2 linked regions of the Arabidopsis thaliana genome follow. The protein of the gene in region 1 interacts with the protein of each later gene in a pairwise test. Each region holds a gene or a part of one and is shown on either strand. Other genes may lie near its edges.

Evidence for each region. The genes of interacting proteins can lie anywhere in the genome.
Region 2: the proteins of UMAMIT45 (region 1) and AT2G39805 interact in a protein complementation assay, tested with the Arabidopsis thaliana proteins (one large-scale study listed by BioGRID).

Annotation. Positions count from the first base shown.
Region 1 is NC_003074.8:10,454,341-10,461,514, forward strand, and holds UMAMIT45 (nodulin MtN21 /EamA-like transporter family protein), read left to right. Parts: upstream 1-1,688; 5' UTR 1,689-1,810; coding exon 1,811-2,007; intron 2,008-2,090; coding exon 2,091-2,156; intron 2,157-2,284; coding exon 2,285-2,398; intron 2,399-4,429; coding exon 4,430-4,676; coding exon of another isoform or gene 4,677-4,817; exon of another isoform or gene 4,818-5,873; coding exon 5,874-6,035; coding exon of another isoform or gene 6,036-6,050; exon of another isoform or gene 6,051-6,113; coding exon 6,114-6,262; intron 6,263-6,346; coding exon 6,347-6,473; 3' UTR 6,474-6,660; downstream 6,661-7,174. Other genes in the region: UMAMIT47 (nodulin MtN21 /EamA-like transporter family protein), read left to right, coding at 104-265, 356-504, 590-731.
Region 2 is NC_003071.7:16,609,367-16,614,274, reverse strand, and holds AT2G39805 (Integral membrane Yip1 family protein), read left to right. Parts: upstream 1-1,720; 5' UTR 1,721-1,921; coding exon 1,922-1,975; intron 1,976-2,448; coding exon 2,449-2,506; intron 2,507-2,605; coding exon 2,606-2,686; intron 2,687-2,873; coding exon 2,874-3,042; intron 3,043-3,372; coding exon 3,373-3,646; intron 3,647-3,864; coding exon 3,865-4,059; 3' UTR 4,060-4,376; downstream 4,377-4,908. Other genes in the region: HOS1 (ubiquitin-protein ligase), read right to left, coding at 32-207, 298-432, 718-1,108, 1,245-1,334.

The sequences.
Region 1 (7,174 bases):
GCATAGCAAACTAGACTGCTTGGAGAAAGCTACACAAATTGACGTGGTTTATATCTTCATTTATTAAACATCATTTAATTTAATTTTAATGTTTATTGGATAGACACATATAATGAGAGAATATCCTGAAGCATTCACAGTCTCCATTCTCTACATTCTATGTATTTCAATCGTGACCTCAATGATTGGACTAGTAGTCGAAAAGAACAACCCAAGCATTTGGATCATTCATTTCGATATTACATTGTTTACAATTGTTACTACGGTATGTTATATATATGTTAAAGAAAATTATCAAAATATTTTCTTTTTGATCTTAACATTAATTTTATTTTATATGTGTAAACTATTTCAGGGAATAATAACTTCAGTATACTATGTGATTCATTCATGGGCAATACGTCACAAAAGACCTCTATACTTAGCGATATTTAAGCCTCTGTCTATTTTGATAGCAGTGGTTATGGGGACCATTTTTCTCAACGATTCTCTCTATCTCGGATGGTATACTAATCAATAGTCTTCATACACATATCTATAAAGAAAAAAACCATTATGTTCATTTTTGATTTTGTCCTTCATTTTGCAGTTTGATTGGAGGAATTTTGATAACATTAGGCTTTTATGTTGTGATGTGGGGCAAAGCAAACGAAGAGAAGAACAAGTTGTTATCATTTTCAGGAAAAGAGAAAACCCCTCTTCTATTGAGCGGCAAAAACGACCAAATTTAAATGAAAAAAAATTTATAATCAAAGGAGTTACAAACTCTGAAATAGTCTCTTATATACATAGCGTGCAAACTATTAGTGTATACTGTGTATTGCTTTGTATATAACTTAGAAAATGACTATCTAATTGTTTTTTAAGTTACGGGTACGTAACGACTATCTAAATTCGTTAGATCACGACATCTAACGAATTTTGGTCGATTTTAAGTAGTATCGATTTAAAGATTTGTAAGTTAATTAAGCAGCCAAATAGAGGCATTGGAAAACAAATGAAAATATTTCTGATAGTAACACTGGAGAGGTAGGACGAGGTAGGATCAATACATGGTCAACCATTTGCTTAAGAAATGACTACAAAAGAAAATATATATTTTTACAAGAGAGATTAAATGGTTTGTTAACATGATCATGTGAGTTTGGTGAACGGTTTTATAGAAACAGAAACACTTTCTTTAAAATTCTTGCATTATCGGTTTTTACTATCACTATATTGTAAGTTTTGCAACAATAATGATCTTTAAGAAAGAAAAATTGTACTGATACTTTTAATTTTTTTTTAAGTTTCTTTGAACCTAGCATGTATAGAGTGGTTGGGAAAAGGAAACAAAGGTGTAGCTTTTTGATTTCTTTTGTTCCTTGTACTACAAAATTCATACATAAATTCTCAAATTCTAGAGAGAGATTAAATACTGAGTTAACACTTTTCCTCAACTCCAACATATGGAAACTTAAATTGATGTTTTAGGTTCGATTAGTAACACAAAATATTATGTATTTTACCAAAAAAAATAAATGATAAAGAATACCATATTAATTAAAAATGATATAAAATAACGATAAAATATCAATATTAAAATGAAAATACAGTCTTATGTCCTTTTTAGTGCCGTTTTATGATTGGTAAAAACGATAAATCTTATTCATTTTTCACCAAAAGAATAAAGAATATTATAAAGTCAACAAACGATAATTATTGGACCTACATAATGCTATTCTTTATATTTGTAACATCAAGAAAAGCAACAAAAAGATAATGAATTAAAGAATCACATTTCATACAACCTTTCTATCATTTTCCAATAATGGCCCGGACAGTAAGTCTCTGGCGGAGAGAGGCCGTGTTCTTGACGGCCATGCTGGCGACAGAAACCGGCGTAGTCGGAATAAGTACTTTGTTTAAAGTAGCAACTTCAAAGGGACTCAATCTTTACGCTTTCCTCGGCTATTCTTATCTTCTTGCTTCTCTCCTTCTTCTTCCTTCTCTGTTCTTCACCGACAGGTTTCTAGTAACTTTATGAGTTTATTTTCATAAACATTTGGTGGTATTGATTTCATTTATTTATTTTTTGTTTTTCTTTACAGGTCAAGATCACTTCCTCCACTAAGTTTGTCAATACTTTCTAAAATAGGACTTCTTGGATTGCTAGGGTAAAAACTCTTACTAACGCAATCTTTTTTCCAATCTTAAGTATGAAATTATGTTCCTATTTGCTAAACATGTGATTTTTTGGTGGACAATCTAATAAATGGTTTTGGCTGACAATAAAAATGAACAGATCAATGTATGTGATCACAGGATACATAGGCATCGAATACAGCAGCCCAACCTTAGCCTCTGCCATTAGCAATATCACTCCTGCTCTTACCTTCATCCTCGCCATTATCTTCAGGTTTGATATCTATATTTTTTTTTCCAATTATTTGCAGATTTCAGATTGTTCTAAAAGCAAACTATTCTAGTTCAGGTGTCGAAATCGAAACATTTTCTTTCCCGGGCACAATTGGCTAAATAAGTCAACTTAAAATTGAATATTGTTTTTTTAGTTCACCAAATTAAGTTTTTTAAAGTCGGGTCATGTTACTATGTTAGGTTTTACAAACCAATATATTTTGCTAACCAAGCTTTTCCTAATTTGGTAATTCCTAGTTGCCCTATGCGGCTATGCTACCCACTATCTCAGATAAATATACTGTATAAACGTACTGTATAGTGAATTAGGTAAACGACGAGTAGTGAAAATTTAATTATAAATAAATCCAACTCTTTAATTATATCATTACGTTGCATTAAACAACCACAGTAAACATAATAAATTGTTATTGAAGCGCAATATTCTCCGTTATAAATAAACGTATTGATTAGTAATACTCTTATGTTTCTTATTAATTAATATTTTAGGAAAAAATTTGTTACTAAAAAATTGATTTTTAAGCTTTTTATTTAATATTAATTATTTCTTATTGATAAATATTAAACTCCAAAATAAATAAAATATTATTGATTTTGAATTATTAAAAATATAAATCATAAAAAATAATACATTTATAATTTGTTTTTAATAGGTTTTCTTAATATGTGTATTTTTCCAAAAAATCAAATATTAAGAAATATTATCTTAAGGAGATTAGCAAAACTACCTTTTTTACTACTTTTTTGCAACAATACCTCTTTATGTTGTCCATTTTACAAAATATCTCTTTCCTTGAACAGAATGACCGAATTACTCTCATCTAATAGGAACATGTAATTGGAAACTGAAATTTTTCCGCCAAACTTTTTTTCTGCCAAAAAACAAATTTCCCGCCAATTTGTTTTTTTGTAACAATTTTTTTCTCAACTAAAATATGCTTTTAAAAATCCTTGTAAATATTTTTTGGCGGAAAATAGATTTACAAGGGATTTTAAAATGGTTTTAAAATATTTACAATGGATTTTAAAAGGGTTTTAAAAGATTTACAAAGATATTAAAAGGTTTTAAAAAGATTTACAAGAGTTTTTAAAGGGTCTTTTTGTAAATTCTTTAAAAATCTTTTAAAAACCCTTGTACATCTTTTAAAACCCTTTTAAATCCTTTAAAAATCTCTTGTAAATCGTTTAAAACCCTTTTGAAATCCCTTGTAAATCTTTCAAAACACTTTTAAAACAATTTTAAATCCTTTAAAAATCTTAAAAAAAACTTTTGTAAGTCTTTTAAAACCCTTTAAAATCCCTTGTAAATCTTTTTAAGCCCTTTTAAAATTTCTTGTCAACATTTTAAAACCTTTTTAAAATCCCTTGTAAATCATTTAAAACTCTTTTAAAATTCCTTGTAAATATTTTAAAACCCTTTTAAAATCTCTTATAAATCTTTGAAAACCCTTTTAAAATCCCTTGTAAATCTATTACCCACAAAAAAAAACTCTTTTTGCGGGAAAATGTTTTTTAAAAAAAAACTTTTGGCGGGAAAATATTTTGATTGGAAACTTTTGGCGAGAAATTTATTTTGAAATAGTTTAGGCGAAAAAAATATTAATATTTCATTTTATTAATCTAAAACAATTTTTAAATATGGATAAAATGATAATTAAAAATTTAAAGAGAATAAAATTAAAATGGCTAAAAAATAAGGGTAAAGTTGAAAATGAACACCAAAAAAAGGATATTAGAAAGAATTTTTCTATATCTTACTGTGAAATTTAGTACCCCAAAAGTAAAAAAGTAAGTTACTGTTACACATAAACTCCACAAAAAGGCTTGCATATAAACGTTGGTAAATAAATCATAAATGTCAGCATCCCTGTTTGTTTGAAAAAAAAAAAAAAACTGTTTGTTTGCATTTCAACAAGATGCGTATGAATTCTTCTTTCTTTGACTATTTATACCTTTCTTTTTATTTTGGAATCCATAAAATATAACACAAATTTTTAATTTGTGGATAAAGAATGGAAAAAGTATCTTTCAAAGAAAGGAGCAGTGTAGCCAAAGTGATGGGGACGATATTGTCGTTAATAGGCGCACTTGTTGTGGTTCTCTACCATGGTCCACGTGTCTTTGTTGCATCTTCTCCGCCGTATATAAACTTCCGTCAGCTTTCTCCGCCGTTATCATCTTCAAATTCAGATTGGCTCATCGGCGGAGCTCTTCTTACCATAAGAGACATCTTTGTTTCTGTTTCTTTCATTCTCCAGGTACAAATTTTTGTTCTTATACATAATAGAAATAATACAAAGTGTTGGATATGTTCCATGCAAAAGAGACTAATTTTGTTATCGGAGGCAGAATTTTTAAAATACAACAGACTTAACCGAGGAAAATTAGTTCAACCGTAAACCCACTGGATCCTCGAACCTAGGCCAAATAGAGAATCTAACTTGAAAACAAAAACCCGTAAAGAATTACCCCATACCAGCAAAACTCATGTGCTATCACAAAACAACGTACCATCAAATTCTAGGTTAATCAATAGATGATGGCAGGCCTGGCCCGCCAATAAAGCAGGAAAGCAACTGTTTTAAACCACACAATGTAGTCTAGTGGTTAGACTTTCTATAACTTAGTCCCGATTCACAAGTTCGAGCTTTTACTAATATTATTTGCTCTATTTGTTTTTGCATTCCTTTTCATCCTTTTTTTCTTTTTCCAATCCACATATTTTAGTTATGTTTGAGGCCACTTAAAGTTAAGGACCGGCCCTCGATGATCGAGTTGGTCATAGACCAATCACTATTTACTTACCTATAGAAGAAAACTCTCAACCATAAACATTGGATGTTAAAACTAGATATAGGCATACAGGAAGAGGCGGCCATGGGGTCAAGCAAGACAAGCATGTTTGAAGTCGAAATAAATAAATATATATATATGTAAGAGTATGATAAAGTGACTAATAAGGTGTCAAGTGGTCCGTTTAACGTCCAATAGGTTTGACCATTTGGACCATTTTTTTTTTGGGGTTTAATGAACGGTCCATAATGGTTTATGGTCCAAAAACTTGTCCAAATCCATGAAGGATAACCATGTCCATTGGATATGTCCATGGTCGTCCATTACTGTACAAGCTTCCTGTTTGATTCAAATTCATCTCAATTCATCTCAACCGCATGATAGTGTTGGATTCTAAGAGTACTAATATCAGTGATATGTGCGAAGTTGGAGTCCCATTATAACCTTTTGCCGAAAATATATAATTTTTCACTAATAAGAGGCCCTAGTAATTATTGTTTTGCTTGGAGTCATGAAACTCGTAAAGCCAGCTCTGGAAATAGCTGGGGTTTTGAAGTTAATCAACTATCTTCATACATCAAATATCAAATTTTGTTTTTTGAAAGAAGGTTGAACATGCATATATAATTTCAATGTTTATTCTATAAAATGTATTTGGCCAGGCAAAAATAATGAGTACATATCCAGCAGCATTCACAGTCTCCTTCCTCTACATTGTATCGGTTTCAATCGTGACTTCAATGATTGGACTAGTAGTGGAAAAGAACAATCCAAGCGTTTGGATCATTCGATTTGATATTACTTTGATAACAATTGTAACTATGGTACGTTGTACATAATTTTAAAAGATTACCAATATATTTACTTTTGATCTTAACCTAGTATTTTATAAAACATTTCAGGCAATAATTACTTCAGTATACTATGTGATCCATTCATGGACAGTACGTCACAAAGGACCTCTATACTTAGCGATATTTAAGCCTTTGTCGATTTTAATAGCGGTGGTTATGAGCGCAGTTTTTCTCAACGATTCTCTCTATCTCGGATGGTATGTGATCACTCATCAATTGTCTTCATTAATTATACACATTTATAAACAAAAACATTTTCAAGCTTTTGCTTCATTTTGCAGTTTGATAGGAGGACTATTGATAACGTTGGGGTTTTACGCTGTGATGTGGGGTAAAGCAAACGAAGAGAAAGATCAATTGTTGTTAGTTTCAGGAAAAGAGAGAACCCCTCTTCTATTGAACGGCTAAAATGGCCAAATTAGAATTAAAAATAAATTAGAACTAATTTACATATTCTTAGCCACACTTTTGGGTAATGTGTACATGTATATTACTACTGTATTTCATGTTGCGCTTTGTTTATAACTTGAATAATTGTTTTAACCATGAAGTAAAGACACTCTATATCCATGGTTAGTAAATAAGGTAAATTGCGTACAGTAGCCGTTGACCCACTTTTAATTTCAAATTTTGACACTGTGGGCTGGGCATTTCATTTCTTAGCCATTCAGCCAAAAACTGACCAAAATGCCCTGACGAAACTGAACCCGGTTTGTACGTACGGACCGCGTCGCTGGAATCCAAGAGAACCGGGTTTGTACGTACACTGTTCATCGACGAGAAATGCATTAAATATTTTCTGGGTTTCGGCGAATTTGACACTTGAGATTGAAATTAAAATTTTTAAAAATTGGTTGGGCTCAGAAGTTTTTAATGCTAAAAAGTTTTGACAAAACTAAAACTCATGATTACCTATTATAATATAGATTATATTGTAAGATATTTACATAATTGAGATTAGAATTCTGGGAAAAAAACGAAAATCAAAATTGTGTTACGGTGAAGAATCTGAAGTTTTTAGTTGCTGTTTTACAAAGTTTGAAGGATTGAAGGGGAGACAATCTGTGTTCTAGGTAAGAAATTCGTGTTAATCCTATTAATTACACTTG
Region 2 (4,908 bases), on another chromosome or scaffold:
TGGATATCAATGAAATGAAATCATGGCTGACCTGCTTTGTTTTACCAATGTTCTCTCTCAGCGTCTGCACATCTTGAAGCTGAGGTGACACAGAACCCTTAAAAGCTGATTCCATAACTTCGAGCACACTACATATGCCAGCCACCTGTTTGGAACACCTTAGGAGTTTATCTAACCACGCTTGCATCTCTTTTGTTTCAAGATTATCTGAGGGCCAATATTAAAGATAGACAGACCTTACGGTGCACAAATATACAGTCTTAAGAAACATAAAAATATTAACAGCTAAAAGGATACAGATTTCTTGAAGTTCAGCTAAGGTGCTCCGGAATGTACGCTTGACCCAATCCTTGACAACAACTTCATCCAGCAAGAAAGCAATGACCGGATCACTAGATACAGCTGTCTCATCCATACAGACATTGGTGATATCTATTAATTTTCTGTCAAGGAGATGTCAACTATGCATCCAACATAAAATACCTCTTAGAGAATGAATGACAAAAACACTATGCACATTTCGCCCAACAGAGACAAGCATGAAACAAGAACTACCTAAAAATACATGAACCTATCAGTACAAAACTCCCCATATAAACACAGTTCCTAATAGCACAAGCATACGAATCTAAAAGAAATTCATGAAAGTATCAAACAGGAAACTAAAAGACTAAATGCATATATCAGACACCAAGCATAAATGCAACTGAAGGATACAATGGCAAACCACCGAGATCAAATTATTGTTCATAGCAACATCAAACAGAGAATAAAGGCGATGAACATCAGCTGCCAATTGATGTTCATCCTCATCCGAATCCTGTGACGCCTCTTCATGTGTTCGGGAAATCAAACCAGCTTCAACACACTCATAATAGAGACGAAGCCTAAGTCTATCTCCAAATTTTGGTAGCGTACTTCTACAGATAGGACAAACATCACACCTCTGACAACACTCTGTGCACAAGGAGGCATGACCACATGGATTCAACACATAGTTCACAAATCTTCCACAGCTAGCTAAGTCTCTTGTTGCACGACATCGCTCAACTTTTGCCTCATTACATAATTCTCTGAGGTTTATAGATGCCAAATGTTTCAACGCCTCCTGTAAGTTACAAACAATAAATTCGAAATTAACTCTAAGCTCTGCAAAACCCATTTTTTTAAGCTGAACCTAGAAATCCTAAGACCTGAGCTAAACTAATTCAGTGGAGAAATAAAAAGGTATAAAGCGGAAGAACCTGAACAGGCTTGCTACTGTAATTAGGCTGCGTAGGAAGAGATATCGATCTCGCGGCGGAGGCAAAACCGTTGATTTCTCTCGTATCCATCTACTCCGGTGACGAATACAAAAATGGAGGTAAAGAGAGAAAAAGCGTGGTTGGTGTTGGCGAGAGTGATAAAACCAGTCTAGGGCTCCGTTGAGCTTTCTCGGGAGGGAAGACGAAGAGAGGAAACACTGTTGAGTGAATTTCTCCTCAAACGGGTCAAGTCGGATTGTTTAATTCGGGTCAAATTTTAAATATGGGCCTTTCTTTTTGAAGTCTTGTGTGAATCTTGTGATTGTCTGGGCCCAAGTCGGCAAATCACGATTCGGGTCAAAATTTAAATATGGGCCTTTGTTTTTGAAGTCTTGTGTGAATCTTGTGATTGTCTGGGCCCAAGTCGGCAAATCACGTGTCCGAAAGTGAACAGCGCGTGTTTTACCGACTTGCTAAGAAAGCGCGTGGATCGTTCTTTCTTTAGTTTCTCTTCCTTTCCCAATTGCTTCCACGACGACGGAGGAGGAGAAGCAAACCCAGAAACCTTAAAAATTCAGAAAAAGGGACGACCTTTTTTCCGATCTTATCGATTTTTGAATGAGATTAGAAGAACCTATCTTCTAAGTTTTTCTTTGATATCTTTTTCTCTTTGATCGATGGATGAGTCGTTCGCTAATCTACAATCAAGCCATTTGCTTGGTTCAGTTCCGGTAAGTCTATATTACATCTATTGCTTCTTTCATTTCACCATCAATAAGCTCTTTGATTGAGTTTTTCTATGATCCTTGTTTGTGTGAAGGGAAAATTAACGTTTTTTGTTCATGCCATCATTTTGTTTGTTGTTCTGTCTCAAGTGTTACATTAGGAAGTAGAATTTTGAAACTTTTCAGATTTTTTTGTCATATTTTTTCGCGTCCACGATGATGCCTAAAGTCTTCACACTCATAGAACAATGGACGATTTCCTTATTTGCATTTCTGGGTTTCTATATTTGTTAAGGCGTTTTATTTAAGTTTTTTCACCATTTTAGGAGACAATTCGTATGAAAAACAAAACTGTATTTGAGTTTAAATGCTTGCATGATAGCTTCATTTTGGATTGAATCCGCTAAGATAAATGTTTTGAGTGAATGGATTGACTATCCCCGTGTTATTATGTCTGATACAAACATCTGTATTCTTAGGCTGTGATCAGCGACGACAAGAGAAGCACAAATGTACCAATAGCAAGCGTCAATGAAGGTGTGTTCTTTTGCTAGTTTCTGCTTGAATTATCTTTTGCAAAGAACTTTTCCGGTAGTGAAAGACATTGAGTGTTGTATGTCTTCTGCATTATTGCAGGCCCTTCTGCAAGCATGCAAATATTTCCACCGAATCTAGGAAACAATACAAAGGGTTATCAAACTCTTGAGAGCCCAACAGGTATATATGCTCCTTTTAGATTCCTTTTTTAGGAGATATTTTTATCTGTAGTCACCATGAATCAGTACAATGGTTGAAAGAATACTTGTGTGAGTCAACCTCGTTTTTCTTATGGATGTCAAGATCCTATATACCTTTGTTTTCACCTTGTTCTGTCTTATATGGTGATATATCTTATCTGCTCCAGTAGAAGGACCAGCACAACAGCCATCAAACAACTGGAAGGGCTTTTTTAATGTCTACTCATATACCCAATACTTCGACGTGGACACGGACGTTGTTTTGAACAGATTAATGAGCTCTTTATATCCTACTAGTGGAGATTTTTTCAACAAGATTGATGCAAACCCTGATTTGTAAGTCTTTTAATGCCTTTTTCTCCTTCACTCTTCTTGGTGATTGTACTTACCATGAGAGAGTTCTTTCGAATTTCTTTAATCGGTCCATTGCTCAGTCATGCCGTTAATTTGTTACCGTTCTAAGTGTTATCTTCTGCACCTTTCCGAAAGCATGATCTTGCTATTCATTTACTCCTATGTTACTTCAGGCGATTGATTAAAATATCCTCATTTTCTCTTGGACAAATGAACAGAAAGCATCATAATATGTTATCCTCTAAAGATTGGCTAAAAGCTAGGCCTTTCACAAATTATTCTTGATTAATGACTCGTGTGTGCTTCTGTTAGGTATGGACTTGTCTGGATCTGCACTACGCTTGTGTTTGTGCTTGCTTCTCTCGGAAATTGTGCTACATATCTCGTGAAGAAACGAACCGACAGTAATGCTCCTTGGATCTTTGATGTGAACTATATGAATTTGGCAGCATCTATAATATATGGATATGCAATAATTGTGCCTCTGGGATTTTATTTTGCACTCCGTTATATGGGGTCCAAAGCTGATCTTCTAAGATTCTGGTGCCTTTGGGGATACTCTCTCTTCATTTTCGTTCCAACCTCTGTAAGTATCTTCAGTAACTTCGGTCTCTTTTGCTGTTAAAATTAATCAATTGATGATCAGTAACACTAAAGACAAATGCATATACTTGATACACAATGGTTTGGTAACTTCACTTTCAATGACCATGTACAATGACATAAATCAACCTAACTTGATATCACAACTTTATACTTCATACTGTTTAAGCATAATAACACTCAGGATGTTCTATTTTGCAGCTTCCATTGCTTATTCCAGTAGAGTTTCTGAGATGGGTGATTATACTCTTAGCTGGTAGTGCATCATCGTGTTTTGTTGCCCTGAATCTACGGTCTTACCTCGAGACGAACAATGATATCACGGTTGTAATGGCTGCAGCATTTGGTCTGCAAATGGTTCTTTCAATCTTCATCAAGGTCTGGTTCTTTCCTTAATCTCCATGAGACGGTCAACACCAGACAAAACATATATATGTAAAAACCTTTAGATTTTGATGTGCTGCGGTAGAACTAAGAATGTCGTTACCAGAAAATGAAACCCACAAAGTAGAAGAAGGAACATATCCGCTAAATCATTCGGTTTCGTTTTTACTGGCGGATTTTCATCGTTGCTTGTAACGATTGTGTTTTTTCATTTTTTGGTTTTGTTTGCTACCACTTATTTTGCTTATGGAGTAAAAATATATAAAAGAAAAAAAGGAAGTTTTCAAGATTTATTGCAATTTACTCTCTTTTGTGAAGAGTGGAGGAGAGTGTTGAGTTATGATTCTGTATCTTTTGGTACATTTTGTAGTCTTTTGAATGTGGCAGAAGATATCACAGAATGGACTATAAAAGTATAAACCTTTTTTGAGTACAGAGCATGTGAAGTATGAAAGAAAAAAGCCAAAATGTCACATTAGATAACCTGTGAATTATCTTTATTTCTCCTTTGAATAAAAAAATGGATAAAGTATCTGCGAGATTTATCATTTATGAACAGACTCGATTTACAGGTCAATCTTACTCGCTAATAAGTTATAATTGATTTGTTCTTAAGAAACATCACCAGCACTTACAACAAGAATCCTCAGACTTTTAGTTAATGAAACATGTTAGGTAGAATAATGGGCTGCGCAGTAGTTATGGGCCTACTTCACTGGCCTATTGGAATAGATAAAAATCACATTTTGGTTTTTTTTTTTTCTATCTAAACTCAAATATTGTTGTGTTCTAAGCACACATACAATATGCTCTAACGAAATCTTATCAAGAAAGAAATTTTTGTTGCAAGTTGTAACCATG